Linked DNA regions of Solanum lycopersicum. The protein of the gene in region 1 interacts with the protein of each later gene in a pairwise test. Links are inferred from orthologs where the notes say so. Each region holds a gene or a part of one and is shown in the gene's direction. Other genes may lie near its edges.

Region 1 (6,697 bases):
TAAGGGCATAACACCCAAGTCCTAACATTTGTTGGCATTTCTTAAGAACGTGTTCAGTTTCCCACTCATTATTATGAAGATCAACTGAACGGCCTTTTATTCTATCCCGGAGAAGCTACATATTTCTTACTTTCTTTGGAGATGTTAAGATTGGTATGCTACAAAAAAATTGACCTTTCAACTAAATAGTTTGGCCCAACGTTAAACCCATATTTAAATACCATATGTTAGTTTTGCCCATGGAGCTCTTGCAGTAGCGGAATATATTACCTGCTTCGAATAGGTAATACCGGAAATGCTTATGGTGCTTCAAGCATGTTGAGCAGATAGCTTTCTTAAGATGGTCTACTTAATAGATAATATGAAGTATAAGTATTTCAACAACCATCCTGTTGGCTTATAATGATTGAGAATATGATGGCACTTTGGAATGCCTATGTCCCAAGGCTGATTACTGTATTTCTCTGTATCATCTCCGTCTTTACACTTTTTTTATTTTTTAAAAAAGTTATTTGCTAGGTGGAATGGAATGCCTTTCTTGTATTTTTCTTTTCGAAGCATTTTTGAGGTTAAGCAGCAAACTAAGGATATTTATTATTCCCAAACAAGTAGAGATGCATCATTGTTGTTTATACCATTTTCAGTGGTTGTCTAGGATATTCTTTTCCAAAGTTCTGTAAATATTTCCAGGTTCGTATTAATACAATCTTGTTTGAATGTTTTATTTTTCATGTTGATTTATATGATAACTTCGTTGTAAAAAGGTACCTTTTCCGATCAGGTAATTCTAAAGCATAGTTTCTTGCAGCTTTAACACATCCAAGACTCAAGATTGTAGAGCATAGGTATAATTCATAGCAGATGGGATGATTTCCACTTACTCTATCAGCTGTTTGTGTCGCGCTGTTCAAAGATCGGCAAGTACCTACCATATTTAATGCCTCATGACCTCTTGATTTGGTTGGTGCTGTTAAAGTGTCAATATGCATAAGTTGTCCGGATTGGATACAAAGGTGAGTGCAATAGCAGATACTGAGTTATTGTTCTAAAGATTGTAAAGGATGAGCAGCCAGGTTTTTTGACTCACCAAGAAACATATAAAGCTTCTATACTCTGTTCACCCCGGAACAAGAACAGATGAACCATCTTCTCAAACCGGATCAGCTAGACTAGTTGTTGTTGTCGAGGACGGTTGTCCATGAAGGGAGTTGTTTTCTATGTCTGAAGCTAACTGTTTCACATTCTGAAGTATAGAAATTAATAGGATAGGATCAAAATATTTTCATTTTGAGTACTTCCATTCTTTTTTATGGAACAGTAATATTAGTAACATTCCTGTTGTATCCTTGTGCTTTGATGGTCTCCTTTTTCATGTTTGAACATGGCTTTTGTTTATGCAGTGCATTCAGAAATTACAAACTTTTCCACCAAATGTCTTCCTTGAATTGTTACCTTCTTCGTTAACGTTTGATTATAGATTTTATTTTCAAATATCTATTTGGTCATAAAATTTGATCCGATTTGATATTTGATCTTTAAATATTTTCAATTTGTTGGTTTTTGTGATCATGTTAAATTGATAATCAAACCAATAAGATGTTTATTATCGACTTTTGGTTAATCAATCTTTGGTTCTTAACAATTTGGTTTTCAAGAATAGAAATGCCAAACAAATCTCCACACTTACCATATTTGTTTAAGACATAATTGTTTGAAATCTTTTTTAGTGTTTATGCAATAAATTGTGGAAACAACATAACTGTTCATTTTTGTCACAATTAAATCTAAAATTGAGAGCGAAAACTATATTAATTGTCAATTTTTGTCACAACTAAATTTGTAATTGTGAAGAGAATAATACAAAGCGAACAATTACAATAAACAAACACACCTTCAAACAAACAAACACAACTTTATGAGTCGTAACTAGACAATCTATATGATAGTTAAGCCACAAACTAAACTGTTTATTTTGTTTTCACTCGGTGTCTGATATATACTCATATGAGCGCGACTAAATCTAAATTTGCGCCGGAAAATCTCATATTAACACTAAATCGCTCCCTAACATAGCCCCTCCTCTCCAATCCTCAATCAAATTTGCATTCCCATGCTACCCTAACAAAGTCCCTCCTCTCCGATCCTTGATTAAATTTGCGTTTTTATGTTAAATTTAGTTTCGCGTCGAATGTCTCTCGTTGATGCTAAGCCTCTCCTCTCCATGTCCCGATCAAATTTGCATTCCCTAGGCGATGTGGAATGGGGCTCTTCAATCCTCGATCATTTTGTATTTTCCGAGGCGCTATAAAATGAAGGCTAAAACACTTTCTAACAAAGACGATTCCGTACCTAGCCACAGACTATATTTGTTTTGAAGTTCTTCTCAAAAAGTTATTGGAATGTTGTGACTATTAGAATTCGGGTCGGGTCGGGTATGAACATGGGCTTAGTCACAGTGCAGTCAAACATGAAAATGGCGGCAAATGCAGGAGCTGGATTCTTCTTCACACCATTGAAGCAGCAGAGCACAATTTACTTGAACCCAAAGCCTCACTTTTTCCTCTCTCTCTAAGTCTCCTTTTGTCGGGTCTAACTCAATTACAAATCTTTATATGCATGATTTTTAATCAATTAGGGTTTTTTCTCCGCCGGAAAAGTAGATTTCTAAATCATCAGTAGCAAACTTTGTAAGAGCTTCACAAATGACGTGCGATACGTCTTCATCGGGATGCGGTTTGGAGAAATTGGAGTCGTTGAGTGATGATTCCATAACAGTGATATCGGAAAACTGGAATGGCTTTTGCTCTTCTTCAGAAGCTCTTCTCAAAGGCAGTGGTGATTTGTCATTCAGCGATGAGTTTGTAATGCGAGCGAAGAATCTCTGCAAACATGGCCTTTCATCTCTAGTTGAACAACACTTCCTTCGTTGCATTGAGGTCTGCTCAATATTTTTACATCATAGTGTTATTTTGTTTTCAATAAAATGTTCATCTACCGAAAGCAGATTAATATACTAAAACGTCATAGCTACTCAATTTCGCTAAATACAAGTAAAGATTGTTCCTTTTTGGAGGAAAATTGTGACCTGGATCATTGTTTCCTGCATTTGGTTGAGTATAATAGTAGGTGATATATGGTAATTATTCAAGGTATAATATTGGATATAAGTAGAAAAATGGAAAATGAGTTTCGCGCTTAAGTAACTGAATTAGTTTTCTTCTCTTATCATAAATTTTTGATTTTGGAGAAGACAATTTTAACTATTCAAGGGATTTAAATTGGAAATGTGTTGTCACAGTGAATATTTTGGTTGATGAAATCATCTCAATGTTTGAATACCTTGAATTTGAAAATGTTTTCCTCCAAGGTCAATATTCGAAATATTTGCCAATGATTTCATCAACAAAAATATTATATGTGAAAACATTTTCAGCCACACCATGCATACTGATTCATCATTTCCTAAATTTGTGATTTAACCTAGTTTTACATATTTTAAAGCCGGTATGGCCATTATGACTCTACTAGGTGTTCTTTTTGAACTCACGGTGACAGTGTTGTGTTCAAACAGGAAATTTTTGAGAGAAATGGAGCAAAAAGGTTCTGGAGTTATTTTGAACCTTACAGAAATGCTGCACCATCTGAAACTAATAAGGATCTTGTACGTACATAGAATCCTTTGTCATGTCATTCTACATTAAAGAGAAGACCTATTCTACGGAATTAGAAAAAATAGATTACTACTTGATTTTCACTGGGAACTTTCTGTGTCTGTGCAGATGCAGGATTATTGTTAATGAGAATTCTCTATATTTGTTGTAATTTTTTTTGGATTTTTGTACCTTCGTGTAAAGTTCTACACTTCTGTTCCAATCCAGTCTTACTTTGATAGAGTATCTGTACATTACATGACCTAACAACCCATTTACATCTTTTTAAGTAAGTGATTAAACTTTTTAATGGATTTAGTTATTATATTTTATGATTACCATAGTTTCTTGGTCTTTACTTCTTTCTTTCATTGCTACAAATTTATTGAACACTGTCGCAATTGGCTTATATTTTGAATCTTAGCTTCCTTACACGGCAACTACATTTATTATTTTTGGGAAGTAATTTATATGGAAAAATGTTTGTCAATATTATCTTGTCTAGCTAGTGAATATGGATGGTTATGTACTTGTTATTGCTGCTGATTCCATTTGCCGTATTTATCTTTCTCAAGCGATGACTTGGTTTTAGGGCTTGGAAATTTTATAAGTAAATCCTGATTGGTATTGATGCAGATTCTAGAAGAAGAAATTCAGCAAATAATATGTAAAGCTTTGGAAGAAATATCATCTCAAAAGCAGTTCCAGGAGAAGTGCCTATTATTGTTGGCTCGTGCTTTACAGTCCTATGAAGAAGACAAATTGCAAGGACAAGCGAACCCAGATTCTACTCGAGTTTATCTCCTCTCGAAATATCAACTAATTGTGTCTTCAGTTCTATTGGCTAGCCTTCCTCACCATTTTCCTGGTATGTGGATTACTTCCTCACTACATGATTGATCCTAGATTGTTTGTTTTTGTCCTATTTGAAGTTACAGTCCTAAGATAGTTTGTTCTTGGACCAATCATGTAGCCAATCACTCAAATGTTAAATACCATTGCCTGGGGTTGTTACTACAACATAGGAATTATACTTCTTTAGTCACTGGTTTACGGCTTTGGTTTCTGAATTTATAAGTTAGGTTATACGTCTTTACAATACACACATATAAAATGGCAAGGAAGAGGTTTGAAATTCTTATACATTTACATTGTCGTCAATTTTTCAGAATAGACAGAGTGGTAAGGGGAGCTTGATATCAAAAGATGCTTCTATGGCTATGTCCTATAAAGTTTAAATTTTTAAATTCTTGATTATCCTTCCCCTTACTATTTTAGGGATACTTCACTGGTACTTCAAAGGAAGACTGGAGGAGCTGAGTACAATTGCAGCTGCGAACTCTGAGGATGAAGAGGAGTTAGGCATGGATGATAAAATGGATTTAGACGAGAAAAGCAAACTTCCCTACAAATGTGGTGACATGGATAGTGATATAAGCCATAAATATGCTGTATTTTCAGAGAACAATAAGTTGGTGAAGAACATCGGAATGGTTGTTCGTAATCTGAGAAATATTGGTTTTACATCTATGGCGGAAGATGCATATGCTTCTGCTATATTTTTTCTTTTAAAGGTACATGGCGTACAATGATAAAGTTTCAGTTGATTTATCTACATTTTCAGTTGACATCAATCAAATTGTGGTGTTTCTGATTTTTGTTAATTTGACAAAATGAAATCGTTTCAAACTATATAAATTAAACATTCACTTAATCTTGATCACGATTATTCTTTTGAATGTGGGTGATAGGACAAAGTACATGATTTGGCTGGTGATGACTATAGGAGCTCTGTTTTGGAGTCCATTAAAGCATGGATACAGGTTAGTCTCATCTGCATGATCCCAATCTCATGTCTCAAAATACAGTGACAAAGGCCCTTTCAAAGTTCTATTTTGGAGTAGCAATGCAAGGTCTTTTGAAATTTATCTTCTTCAGCACTAATAGAAGAGATAGTGGTGGTCATTTGATTCATTTGGGATATTAAGTGACTGGCATCCTGAAATAAGAAATATTTTTTCCTTGCCTAGTGCACTAGTTTGGATTCCATTGATATCCTGCAATATGACAAGTCAGACATTTTTGAGTCAGATGTATCTAATGGTTTTATTATGTGTTTAACCAATTTATTGATAGTGATACTTTCACTCATGTGATTTGTGTGTCGATAGCTTGGGAGGCATTGTATAGATGACAAAACAAATGACAGAATAACTTTGTGAAAGGTTGACTATATTATCTTGAATATCAATTCTACATGAAGTTTTGTTCAAACTTGAAGAACATGGATAAGCTTATGTTTAGACCAATCTGACTTGTCAGGAAATTTCTGTTGGATCCAATTTACTAACATTGAGAACCAATTTGTGCAGGCTGTGCCCCTTCAGTTCTTACGAGCACTTCTTGATTACCTTGGAGATTTTACTAACTGCAATGACCCTTCCCCTGGCCTGAAATCTCCCCTGGCATCCCACCCCTCGTGCTATTCTGGAACTGGAATTCCATCTGAGGGGCTTGTTAGATGGCAGTTGCGCTTAGAGTATTATGCTTATGAAACCTTGCAGGATCTCAGAATAGCCAAACTTTTTGAAATCATTGTGGACTATCCGGACAGGTAATTTACTATTCCATTTTCTTCTCCTCATTTCTTCTCTGTTTGTGGGGGGTTCAGTCTCAGCGCATGGGTGTATATTGTAGCAGATTTATAAGCAAGAAAACTCATATATATTTGGAAGGAAAGAAATGAAAAGAAAGAATGAAGACTTTGTAAAAGAGAAGAGGAGTAAATTCGGTGGTTGGTTGAGAAGGGAAGAGATATCATTTGACTTTGATACCCTTAACAAAGTATTTCTCTTGTTAATACATTTAGCATCTTTTTTGGCATTAGAAAGGGTTTCCCCTCTGTTTCCGCCCACTTATGGATGGAATTGAAATTTTAGAACTTTCTGCATACCTTTATCGCTTCCCTTTTCTCCCAAAATTCAATCTCAGAAGCTAAGAACTAAACTCACCCATGTTCTCATCTCATTTCTCTCCTTTCCCTTCCA
Region 2 (6,051 bases), on another chromosome or scaffold:
TTATCAGGCTTACATCCATAGTTGTTAGTTTGTCTGTTCAATGACATTTTATCTTTTGTGTCTTTTCGATATGGGAAATAGGAACTCTTTTCTTCTGGTGCTAACTTAAAAAGGGTCATTGGTTGTTACTTGCTATCACTGTATGCATTGCAGTGAAGATGCTTAATTTTTATTATTCTTTAAAGATTACATAACTTTTTCCCCTTGAACTCTAATGATGTAGAATTAGATAGACAATTTATATATATATATATATATATATATGTGTGTGTGTGTGTGTGTGTGTGTGTGTGTGTGTGTGTGTGTGTTAGTGCTCCTTTTTAAAAGGTTAGTGTTAAAGAATGACAAAAGTCCCACATCAATGGTTAATGAGATGAGTAGACTCCTTATAAGGCTTGGACAATCCTCCTCCCTGTGAGCTAATTTTTGGGGTGTGAGTTAGGCTAATTTCACATGGTATCAGAGCAGGGGCCGTCTCACCCGATGTTGGGGTTCCCAAAAATCCAAATTGTCCAGGCACAAGATGCTAAGCACTGGGCGTGAGGTGGGATGTCAAAGAATGACAAAAGTCCACATCAGTGGTTAATGAGATGATTGGGACTCCTTATAAGGCTTGGACAATCCTCCTCCCTCTGAGCTAGCTTTTGGGGGTGTGAGTTAGGCATAAGACCTAATTTCACAGTTGTATTACCGATGTAGCACAAAGGTTGTACCCAAGTACACCACCAAAAGTTCAAAAACCAAGAGAAGTCCGTAATCTTCTATTGCAAGCTATCTATGCGCTGTCATAAGGTTTCTACATCATTTACCAAATCCATCCTAATCCTACTAGAACAAAATATTACAGTCAGATTTGATCTTTAGAGTATTGTTAGCTTGACCAGCAAAAACTCTTCTATTCCTTGCCTTCCATATGCACCACCAAAACATGCTGTAATTGTATTCCATTTAGTTTTCAAAGGCCCAATAAGTCTGAGGTTGATCTTGGCATTACTCAGTTCATGTCCAAATATTGTAAAACATCTACCATATTTGTGTTGCTATTGGACAATGCAAGAATATATGATTGATTATCTCTGTTGTTATTACACATATACCATTTGCTACATAACTGGTATCCCCTTCTCTGCAGATTATCCTGAATGAGACATGCTTCTCTAGATTGTCCTTTGTACCAAGCAATACACCCTTACCATTCTAAAATAAATGGTGACAATGTATTTGTTAGTTAGATCATAGTTTCTTAGATTGAGGAAGAGGGTAGCAATCAGAGAATTTGACTCTAATTTAAAGCAGATTGCAAGTTTTGAAGAGGACAGAAAATATCTAATTTATTGTCAATCCGATGGAGTCTAAAATGTCTTCTCCGGTTTAAAACATAGTTGGTAACTTTCTAATGATATCTGTATAGTTTCACAGAGCTATGTTCTTGTTAATTGAAGTGAAATTAATAGCCTTTTTGGCCTAGCTTCTAAAATGAGTTTATTTTGAGAAGTGCTTTTCTAAAAAGTACTTTTGGTGACAACCAGTTTGTGACTTTGCTTTGTGAGAAGCAGTTTGTGTTTGACCATGTTTTTAACAAGTTCTTCTAAGTGTATTTTCTCAAAAGTGCTTTTCAATACAGCACTTTGGGAGAAAAGCTATCTTTTTAAACTTCTGCTACTCCCTGAAACACTTATTTTCTCCTCATAGCTTGGTTAAACAACTCACTTTTTTAAACATACACACTTTTTTAAAAACAAGAAGAAGCACTTTTGGCCCTTCCAAAAGCTTGGCTAAACAATATGTAAAGGTGACAATCTTCTATATTAAAGAATCAACTGACATTCTTATATGCACTTTGGCAACACTAGAATTTCTTTTTGATTTTTCGAAAGTTTGTAAAATACAATTTCTTTGCAGTTGTCAGGAGTGGTTCCACCTCCAGTTTGTAGAAATTTTCAGCAAAATGGTACTAATGCATCTGTGGCTGGTGCTGATAACTCTCCACGATCAACTGTCAATTCAACCATTCAGGCCCCTCGGAGAAAGTTTGTTGATGAAGGGAAGTTAAGAAAGGTATGCAGTACTATAATACATAGGTTTCAGTCATCTAATTTATTATAATATTAAGTTCTTCTTTCTCTGTATAATCGCTGCAGGATTGTTAGGTTTTTTATAGAAACTTCCCACTGAAGTAATGTCGTACTTCCTCATATTCCATTTTAAGTATGTCTATCAATCAGGATGCCTTTATATGATTCTAAAACAAAGTGAAACAGCTTTTATTCTAAGTTTTTCGTGATAAAAAAAGCTTCACAAAATGATATCATAACAATTTAAGTGTTAGTTTTCTCTTTTGTTGAAATTTGGAAGTGAGCTTTTAGTGTGAAGCTTTTGGTGCAAGCCTGCTGTCCTTACCAATTTTCACCTGTAGAAGCCAGTTGTTAGAGGCTAGGCTCTTATTTTGTCTTATTTGACCTCTTTTAGTTAAAAAACGAGAATGTTTTTACAAACTTTTAGCTTGTTGAACTATGGTATTGATTTTGTTCATCTCCTTTATTTTGTGCATTTGTTCAGTTTTAACTTTCAATCTCTAAACTTCCCTATACATTTCTGGTGCTTTATATGGTGGATTTTCGTTGTCTCCATTACCCCTTTTTTGGGTCTGAGTCCACTATCTCTTATCTTTCCAGATATCTGGGAGGTTATTTTCTGATTCTGGCCCTCGACGAAATTCAAGGCTTTCGGGAGAATCTACTGGAAACACAAATTCAAATGTATCTGCAGCTTCTGGAAATGGAACCATTCATTCTTCCAAATATTATGGTAGTTCGAAGCTGAGCTCAATGACTTTACGTTCCATGACAAGTCGAAAGACACAATCTTGGGCTGCCGAAAATTATGGTGAAGGTGATTGATATTTTGTCTTTTCTCTTGATAATTCTGTTGTTCATTGTATTTTTAACCTAAGCGTTGTCACCTTTTTAGAATAGACTAATCATAAAAATTTTATGTGAATCCTAAGGTTTGGTCACACAATTGCTTGAAATGAAGTATAATTACAAAGAAGTGTTGACTTTTGACTGTACCCAGTCAACATTAATGCGTGAAACAAAACGGAGTGTCAGGCAACTTTTTTCTTCCTCCCCCCCCCCCCCCCCCCTATGCAGAAGTCATAGTACACTTGAACAGCAGTTGGGTGGTGATATGCTGACATCCAGGCCTGCATGGAGCTAAATTTGTATATTAGTCTGCTACAGAAAAAGAAGTCGGGTGTGATTTTCTCTGGAAACTTTCTATCATCTAATAAGGACATATCATCTGAAGATATTTTTACTAAACATAAGGGAGGCACGAAACTCCGCCTGTCCTCCAAATGGATTGCTTTTGTGTTATATGTGTTATTTCTGAAATCTAACAAAATTTTGTTCTTGTTATATTGGAGTCACTTTCATGATCCCCTAAATTCGAATAGACTTGTGCACACTTTTCTTATTTAGTGGTTCCGTCACAAACTTTAGGAAGGAGTTTTTCTCCCTCTATTTTTTTGACTTTTTTCTTACCTCTTTTATTATTCGTCAAAGTTGAAACTTTACTTCTGTAGTTCCCGAGTTCTGGTTAACTACTATTTGGATGTGTGGGATCACAATTGATTAATGCATTAATCATTTGAAAGAATTCAAGAGTACAGATAAATTGTTTTTTTCATCTGAAATTACTGCTATCAACCAATGGAAAAATGAAGAAAGCTGAACACCAACAGCTATGTTCATATGGAATTTCTTGTGTTTGTGCACTGTTGCTACCTAAGAAAAACATCTACCTTTGAGATGTGTTTTTATTCGTAACTGTGTTAGGTCTGCATCTCAGGGACTCGCAATGACATTTCTGATGATTCTCGGCTAAATATGACTCTGTCACACCCTTCTGGTGATGCTAGACCTCTTGAACAAGAAGGGCCCGGAACTTCTGCTTCTGGGGTTAATGTAAGCAGCACATCTATCCTCTCAGGTGCTTCAGATATATTGTCCCTTTTCAGGATTCTTGGGGAAGGCTATAGACTTTCTTGTTTATATAGATGTCAGGTATTACATTTTGATTCTGAATGGATAAATTTCAGCATTTATTTGATGCTCTACATTGATTTGGTTGAAATATGATGCTTTACGGTGGAACAGGATGCACTGGATGTTTATAACAAACTACCACACAAACATTATCACACTGGATGGGTTCTTTCTCAGGTAAAGGTTCTGTCTTTCTTGATCACTTTTTCTCCAATCCTTTTGGAGGCAATGTATGTATTTTTATATTTCCTCCGTTCAAAGTCCTGTTAATTTTAAGTTTTCTCTTTATGCTTGTTTAGGGAATCAAAGGAGATATTCATTCTTGTCCTTTACTGTTTATTTGCTCGTCTCTAATTGAAATTGCTTCCAGTATGTAGGTTCCTAAAAACTTAGCGGGACATGCTCATTTCTTTTTTGGGGTTAATTTCTAACTTGATCTTCATGATGTATAAGTTCCATGTTTAGACTAGTTACATAGTTATGGATACGTACTAGAAATATCGATTAGATAGCTTTGTTCGAGTGCACTACAAGAATATTAAGTGGCCTGGAATAGATATGCATGTCTTCTTTATATTCATTGAATGTCAGAGAGCACTATTTTCTAAGAGTGGTCTTCTAGGATCTTGATTCTGCCGTGTTAGGTGCTGAAGTAAGTCCTCTGAATAGGACAATGAACTTTCATTTGGACAGTCTAGAGTATTGATCATGATTCAAGGCACTGCATTGCATGGTCCGGAGAATATCTACTTTTGCTAGTATAATTTTTAGGACCATTTTGTACTATGTTTGACGGTCTTTAGCCCTTTCTACTTGTGGTGGGGCATGGGCTTCTTTCTTTTTACATATCCCTTGACTTAACCGGCTCTTGAGTTCTCTTGGTATCTCTTGGCCTAACTTGCTCTTTAGTTTTCTTGGTATCTGTTGCTTATCAAATATAAAAAGGTTCTCTTGGTATTTGTCTATTGTGGCATGTCATGACCAAATTAGAATGCCAGATTTATCTGTCTACATGTGGCATCTGATGTGCATATTTGAATGCCAGATTGGAAGGGCATACTTCGAAATGGTTGATTACCAAGAAGCAGATCATGCATTTGGCCTTGCTCGTCTGGCCTCACCTTATAGTTTAGAAGGAATGGACTTGTACTCGACAGTGTTGTTTGTGAGTCTTCTTTGCTCTTTAAGTGGTTCAATCAGAACATGTATGCTTTGCTGTGAGGAAATATTAATTGCCTTTAATTTTACCATCTCTTAGGGTGGTGGGGTGGTGATGCCGGACGGGTTTGATGAAACTTTATTTGATCCCTGTTACGTCGACATTACTATTATTTGCTTACATTCTATGATCATTATTACTATTATTTAATAACAATATTTTTTTTTGTTCCGGTATTTTTGTTGCATCCGGTTATTGTTCACTAATTAAAATTATTTCTTGAAAGCATATTTTTCTTAACCTTTGGTAGTTAGGAAACTGGTTATATATGGTTATCCTAATAGTTCTTATGTTCCAAAAGGGTCCCAATCTTTATGTCCTCTCTGTCTTTTCCTGACAAACTATTTGATTTTAATTTTAGCATCTCAAGGAGGACATGAAGTTGAGTTATCTGGCGCAGGAGCTGGTATCAACTGATAGATTAGTTCCTCAATCTTGGTAATTCCTGCAAAATCCGAAGATAATATTGTCTGATATAGATATTTCTGGAGCTGTTTATTTCTTTTGTCCAGATATGTGTGGATATTTGGGCTTATTTGTAACATCTTATCAAGTATTAATTTATTTACTCATGAATGGCTGAGTATCATTGATCATTCCTTCGCCATGTTTGCTGTTTTTGACCCTTGATCAAGTTGTTAACAATGTGACTCCTTATGTTTCTGATTATTCTTAACCTGCTAGACGCATTATGTTGATTTAACAATTGGACTTACATCTTCTGTCTGAAAATTCTGACTTCTGTGTTTGCACTCAATGTGTAGATAAATATTCGAGAAGTTT
Region 3 (6,798 bases), on another chromosome or scaffold:
ATTAATTAGGTTCATCAATCGTTCGACAAGTTGAGTGCATAAACTTAATTAGTCTAATTTTAACACCACTGAGAAATTAATACTGTTGATGGAATATTAGTGTTTTTTTTCTTTTTCTTTTCTGAGTGACAAATAGCTCACTCTAGCCAGAATAAGGTTCTAATTACTAAATGACATTCATTTGACCATCTCACTTGCACTACTTAAATAAGAGGAATGTGTTGGACATGGACTAATGATATTTTGTAAAGAGTGGATAGTAATGACATAATATAACACTGTTTGATTAACAAAGTATTTCTTTTTTTTGATCAGTTGTTTTCTTAAATTTACAAAATTATCATTGTGTGTAATATTATCTTCTTCTAATTTTTTAAGGACACAGAAGAAAATAATGGGTTTGGAATAAATTTTATTTTACGTTAATAATTTATGATGTCCTTATTATATTTTTTTATTTTTTGAGAGATCGAAATCTTGTAATTTCCTACTTCTTTGTGACTTTCTATATGTTACTCGGAACAGATTGAGATTACCGCTGTGCACTACATGTTTATCTTTGAACAAGAATTTGTGTTTACATATCTTTATAATAATTGTATAAAAGTGTATTATGCATTAAAACGTGGAAGATTCGAATCACTAGGCAATTTACTCGTGAGGTTGTTAATAGTAGTATAACCCAGTCGAGAATATTAATTTAATTTACACATATAAGAATAACATAACGCGAATATATTAAACTGTCAAAACACACTTTTATTTATTTATATGGTAAATAAAAATCTATACGAAACACCAGAAAAAACCAAAAAGAAGAAAAGAAATTGACCCACCATAAATTAAGAAAAAACCATGTAATAATTCATATCCACCGTGGGAGATTGAGAAAATAAACAAATTAAAAATGACATAGGTAAAAATCCAGAAAAGAAATAGGAAGCAGAAAATAAAATTAAGGATAGAAATTATTAGGCCACACATTAGCATTATGATTATCATTAAAATTGGGCAAAATCATCTCATCTGCATGTCCATAACCAATATGCTGATCACTTGCGTTGCTGTTCATCCAATCAGTAAACCACTCTGTTTGTGTCCTCTGCATCGAATCCAATCCCAATTCCACCACAGCAGGCTTTTGCTCCATCGGTGGAGCAACTGCCTGCGATGCTACTGCTGCCGCAGCAACTGCAGCAGCAGCAACAGAAGAAGAAGAGGAAGTCGAAGCCCCCTTTTTAACTGCCTCAATCCTCTTATAAACCTCTTTCAAATTCTGATCAATTACCCATCCAAGGTCATTCAAATCTCCCAAATTCAAATTCTGAAGCCCTTTTCCAGTCAACCCTTGATACATAACTTCGGTCATTTCCTTTTCTCTGTTTTCCTTGCTCTGTTTCTTCAATTGCTCGCTCGCTTTAGCTATCCTCTGCCTTATGAAACTCTCTTGATTCACCATTTTCTTGCTCTGTTCCATCTCAGGCATCCTTTTAAACTCGGCGAGCACGCGTTGAGCTCCCATGGTGTTTGGCCATACTTCTGGTGAAGTGTCATAAGGGCTATAAATAATAGCACAAGCATCAATCCCACAAAGGGTGCTCAATTCACTCACCTTCTTCATCAGACCCTTCTTCCTTTTCTTGAATGTTGCTTTTCTTGCCGAGTCATTAGTGATGAAGGCTAATTTCACTTTCTTTCTTGTCATTTTTTTGGGATGCAAAGCAACAAATATGCAAACAAGATGAAAAAATAGGGTAGATGTACAGTTCTGTGTTCTTTAGTTTCTTGGAATGGGCATGTTATATACAAATATGAAGATGTTTCACTAATTAATATGGAAGATTTTGTATTTATTTGCATATCTGGAAGATGAATTGATGATCAAACATATTTGGAAAAAAATTTAGTGCCCAAATATTTTCAATTTTGATTGTCAATACAATTTTTTGGTTCCACCTGACCAGGGGTCCAGTTATAATATCTCAATTAAAAATTTACATGATATATTGTTATAGACGTGTTTATTAATTTTTTTTTAGAAAAATAATAATAATTACTAATTTTCCTGCAACCCTATCTGATATAGAAACATAAAAGATGAATAAAATAAGATTGTTAATAACATTTTTCAATGGAATTGTAGTTTAAAAGTTGTATCTAAAATCACCTCTTATAATTTAGTTGTTATTTATTTCATAAGAAAAAATCATTAGTTGAAATTTGTCACGACTTTTTCGTAGACTTAAATTCTATTTAATAAAAATATAGTGTGATATGTTCAATTTTCACATATCTTAATTCTTACGGACCATATGATGCATGTAAACATTTAAATGAATGAGTTTTATAAAAGGTTACTATGGTAAGCTTTAAAATCAAATTGTAACGGTCATCCTACGAGATCTCATGTAGTCATTCGGTACATCATACATGGACAAAAGTGAATTTGGAAATAATAGATAAATCATAAATTCCAAACACTAATTTCTTTTCTTATTCGAGGTCATAATTTTTATAGACAAATAGTAAGTTATAATCAAATGTATAGACTATAGACTAACAAAAGATATATACAGTGTGATGAAATTTAAATAATATCCCCTCCAATTTATATATAACTTTCACTTTTTTAAAATTATATTCATTAAACTATTTACATTTTCACTTGTCATATGTATTTCTCTCTATGCAACTGTTACTTAAATATTTTCTTTTATCAATGCTTTGTATTACAATAGTCAAATTAGTAGAATAAATTATGTTTCTAATCAAATTTCATTATATGTAGTAATATGATGTATTTCTCTCTTTGCAACTGTTAGTTTAATTTTTTCTTTTATCAATGATATGAATTACAATAGTCAAATTAGTAAGATAAATAATACTATCTAATCAAATACCATTTTATGTGGTAATTAGGGGTAGTTACAATCAATTTAACAAAAACAACTTAAAATGGCGATACACATACAATAGGACAAAACTATATGAGGTTTCAAACACTAATTTTGAACAAGTTCAATTGCCTGAAATAAACCTCGTAAAATAAAGGTAGCGAATTGACTGTTGCTATTATATTTCAAATAATCTTAGCATAACTTGTTCTCGAATCAAACAAGCCCAAAATCATTAACGGCCCGTGATAACGATATGGGCTGGTTCAGTCTGGGCCTTAAGCCTAAGCCTGTTGCCCGCTGGTTTGGACTTTGGATCGTACCATATTTTTTCACTAGTTTTTCCGCCATTTTCAGAGTTGGTTTAAAACCCTAGACGAAGAAATGTCAGTTCAAAATTTCAAAATCTTTCTGAAACAGTAGATCAACGCACCAATTTTGTCGTGGAAAAAGGTTAATTTCTCTGTTATCGTAGTATTCATTTTTATTTTTTTTGTGTGAAGAGTGTTTTTAATTATCATTTCTCATATAATTTAAGAATTTCCGTTTTTGTGGTGTTGACATTGCAGAGAAAAAGCCAATGAAAGTCAAGATTTTGCGTATCCTTTTGTTAATTATGTCACTGATTTGAAATGTTTAAATGAAGGATACGGTATGTATGTTGGTTGAGCAGTTAATTAGTGCAGTGAATTATAGCAACTGTTACTAAATCATTTCTGATATGAAAGATTATTTTCTGTCTAAATATGTAATTAGTGATTGGATATGGCTCATCTTGTGATCTTAGGATTTTAATATCATTGATTTCTGAATTTTGTTGGAGAATGTAGAGCCATTAAACTCCCCCAAATCAACTTTAGTTTGTGTTTCATCGATTGTTTCACTAAGGTACAGAAGTGCATATTCTGACTTTCTTAAGTAAATGGAGGGTAAGCCTAATGTTGCAAGTTTGTTAGTTTCTTTGACTGAAGGATATGTTGGCATGTTTCCTTGAGAATTGGCTGTATCAGTATATCATGAAGTTTCCCTTAACTTGATCTATTGGGTGTTTTGCTGGGATTGTGAATAGAGTATGTCCTCTTGATTGCATTTGGTATTTTTATTGTTGTCGGACTTAAGACTACATGGCATGGTTACTTCATCTTACTTTTGTTACTTCCTCGTGCATTGCAGATGGCATGCGGTTTCTTCATGGACATGGGATGCTCAGGATGAAACTTGTGGTATATGTCGGATGGCTTTTGATGGTTGCTGTCCTGATTGCAAACTCCCTGGTGATGATTGTCCACTAAGTAAGCCTGTTTATCTCTCCCTAATAGTTTTCTCAGGCATATAAGATATGGATCATCAATCACATGTAATCTTGCTAAGAGAAAAAAGAAAATGTGATTGTGCATTCATCACTTCTTTGACAAAACGTGAAAATTCCACCTGCATTAGTTTTCAAGGTTTACATGTTTCTACATTGATGTTACTCATGAACACAAGGAGAGCTATAAACTGTTGCTTGACAATATTTGCAGTCCTTCATAGTTGGTTTAATTTGTTTGATTTGGTGTGAGACTGGAGAATGATATAAAAGGTACAATATCTTAATGGATGGCAGGTGTGTTAATGAAAACTGCATCTAACATGCTGACAGTTATAAGAGTATACTTTGTCCTAGTAACATTGTTAGTTGCTGTAGAGAACTTTTCAATTGAAACTTGTGATACATCTGGAGGCTGGAGCTGTCCAATTATCCTCCATTACAAAAGAGACTTTCTCAAGACAACTTCTCCCTCTTTTGAATTTGTGGTTAACATAACTGAACCTTCTAAAATATAGGTTTAGAAAGATACTTTGAAGGTAATTGTCAATATAGGGTGTGTTATAACAGCTAACTGAGTATATTAATCAAATATTTTCACCATAAGCTGTCAACTAAAAGATACTACAAACACTTGTCACGGATGTTGTATTCTTTCAGAATCAGTATTAACATATTATGCATCTTCTTGATGCTATTAATTTAACTCTTACTTTGTCAAGAAATCCAAACATATTATGTGTCTCTGTGTTACAGAGCATTTCAGCGGCTTGACTATATCTTGCTGTGACTAGTTCATATTACTGGCTCAATTTTTTATATAGATTGGTAAGTATCCATTTGATTTTCCCTTGTGGTTAGAAGTTTGTGGTATTGAATCTATTTGTATCATGCGTCTTCCCATGAAGACTAATGTCTATCTACTCTGATGGAAGCTTGAATAATCACAGTGTATTAACATCAACCAACAACAACCTTTATGCACAATTATGCATGTTAGAAGAGATCAAAGTTGGGTTTCGGGACAAGGATAGTCTTTAAGTGCTGGTGTTGACTTGTATAAGTTCCCGTAAAGCAGGAGTTTTCAAAAATCACAACTTCTCAATAGTTTCCACAAAAAAGTTCTTATTCTCTCCTTGTTTGGATATGTAATTTCCATGAAGTTGGATAAGAAAAAGAAAAAGTAAGAATATATTATTGTGCTTATTCATGGAATAAAAGTATAAAACTACTTCCTCTGTTAGTTTTTTTAATCCTGCTTGCAAGACGACCAATCCTAATGGCCTAAGTTTATGGAAGAGAAGAGATGGGGATCCAGGGCTAGACTTTATTTCTTTGTAAGTTCAGTGGTGAAGACGTCTGGTTTTTCTCCAAATAGATTTTAGTTATGACCTTTTGACCACCCAGTGAGACTGGAAAGGATATACTATGGTGGACTTACTTATAGGGTTAATAAAAGAAAACAAATGTTCAACTAGGTTTTACTTGAGACCTTTTGGCCTTAAAGTTATTTGGCAAAGCTACAGTATTGGAACAGAGCTTCTTATAGGGTAAATAACGAGAAGACGGAAAACTCAACGAAGTGTAATTTGTGACCTCTTGGCCATAGTTTTCCTTCCAAACATTAACTACAATATGGCATTTCCATTCCAACACAAGTTGTTCACAGTAGATTTAATAAAGTAAAAGAAGGATAGAGAAGTGATATATGTAACAAGAATCCTAGACACTAGTCTGTATACACAAGAACAAGCAGAAGTTCTGTCTTGAAGTAATCTCCTCTCTATAGGCAATTTCTTGAAGAGCATAGACACTTTATTCTTTCTGTATCTGGACTGCTTCTCAATGAGCCAATATTTATCAGCATGAAACTTGAAGGGGTATTATCTCTAAATGGGGCCTTTATACGCCCACCTGTCAAGTAAAGTAGAAAAATGAATTAGATACTCTTCATAAATAGTAGAGTATATTGTTTGAACTCTAGAATATCTTTTAAGCAAATTGAGAGAATCTTCAAGCTGTTAGATCTGAGTTGAATGCTCCTCTAAACTAAAATGACAGAAGTATCTTTTACCCCTTTTCTATTTGGCAGTAGAAAGGATGAAATTTAAGAACAATTACCATAGGAAAGGAAGACCATTTGGTGAGGACTGGAGGGCCCAAAAAGCATAAAGAATACCAGGTATCCACCCAAGGAGAGTCAGCAAAATACAGATGAAGAATTCAACCTGTTTCCAGCACAGAAAAGAAAATTTTCAGAGAGTCAAGAGACCATGTGAAATCTGCACCATCTTTATACAAAAATTCCAATTTTTTAGAAGAAAAAGTAATTTTTTTACTGTCATTTGCATTGTAAACTCACAAATCCTTAGCCCTGGCCAGTGGCCACCCTTGAACCCCAAAAAGGAGAAAAAAGAGGAGGAAAAGGTAGTACCTCTCTAAGCCTCTAGAAGGCTGGTGCTATAAAAGAGCAGATGCCATGTTTTTACAGGCAATATTCAAGTTTTCGCCTGCAGTAGTTATAAGTTAATTGGAAGGAAGCCTTTTATTTAGTTGGTTTATGCATTTAAAGTAATCGAACTAGTGAATTTGGTT

What was found.
Region 2: the proteins of anaphase-promoting complex subunit 2 (region 1) and cell division cycle protein 27 homolog B interact in binary tests that used the Arabidopsis thaliana proteins (3 or more experiments, as listed by UniProt). The link is inferred for Solanum lycopersicum from reciprocal best matches to the Arabidopsis thaliana genes APC2 and HBT.
Region 3: the proteins of anaphase-promoting complex subunit 2 (region 1) and anaphase-promoting complex subunit 11 interact in binary tests that used the Arabidopsis thaliana proteins (3 or more experiments, as listed by UniProt). The link is inferred for Solanum lycopersicum from reciprocal best matches to the Arabidopsis thaliana genes APC2 and APC11.

The regions. Positions count from the first base shown.
Region 1 is NC_090804.1:2,482,801-2,489,497, forward strand, and holds the start of anaphase-promoting complex subunit 2, read left to right. Parts: upstream 1-2,467; 5' UTR 2,468-2,702; coding exon 2,703-2,936; intron 2,937-3,571; coding exon 3,572-3,661; intron 3,662-4,286; coding exon 4,287-4,518; intron 4,519-4,928; coding exon 4,929-5,224; intron 5,225-5,401; coding exon 5,402-5,473; intron 5,474-6,022; coding exon 6,023-6,264; intron 6,265-6,697. UniProt on the Arabidopsis thaliana protein: Component of the anaphase promoting complex/cyclosome (APC/C), a cell cycle-regulated E3 ubiquitin-protein ligase complex that controls progression through mitosis and the G1 phase of the cell cycle.
Region 2 is NC_090802.1:28,489,724-28,495,774, forward strand, and holds part of cell division cycle protein 27 homolog B, read left to right. Parts: intron 1-1,902; coding exon 1,903-2,058; intron 2,059-2,675; coding exon 2,676-2,892; intron 2,893-3,852; coding exon 3,853-4,067; intron 4,068-4,160; coding exon 4,161-4,226; intron 4,227-5,094; coding exon 5,095-5,214; intron 5,215-5,629; coding exon 5,630-5,706; intron 5,707-6,051. UniProt on the Arabidopsis thaliana protein: Component of the anaphase promoting complex/cyclosome (APC/C), a cell cycle-regulated E3 ubiquitin-protein ligase complex that controls progression through mitosis and the G1 phase of the cell cycle.
Region 3 is NC_090800.1:86,979,828-86,986,625, forward strand, and holds the start of anaphase-promoting complex subunit 11, read left to right. Parts: upstream 1-3,150; coding exon 3,151-3,197; intron 3,198-3,540; coding exon 3,541-3,546; intron 3,547-4,067; coding exon 4,068-4,186; intron 4,187-5,752; exon of another isoform or gene 5,753-6,092; coding exon of another isoform or gene 6,093-6,117; intron 6,118-6,324; coding exon of another isoform or gene 6,325-6,431; intron 6,432-6,798. Other genes in the region: agamous-like MADS-box protein AGL80, read right to left, coding at 956-1,705; Pmp3 domain-containing protein, read right to left, coding at 6,093-6,117, 6,325-6,431. UniProt on the Arabidopsis thaliana protein: Component of the anaphase promoting complex/cyclosome (APC/C), a cell cycle-regulated E3 ubiquitin-protein ligase complex that controls progression through mitosis and the G1 phase of the cell cycle.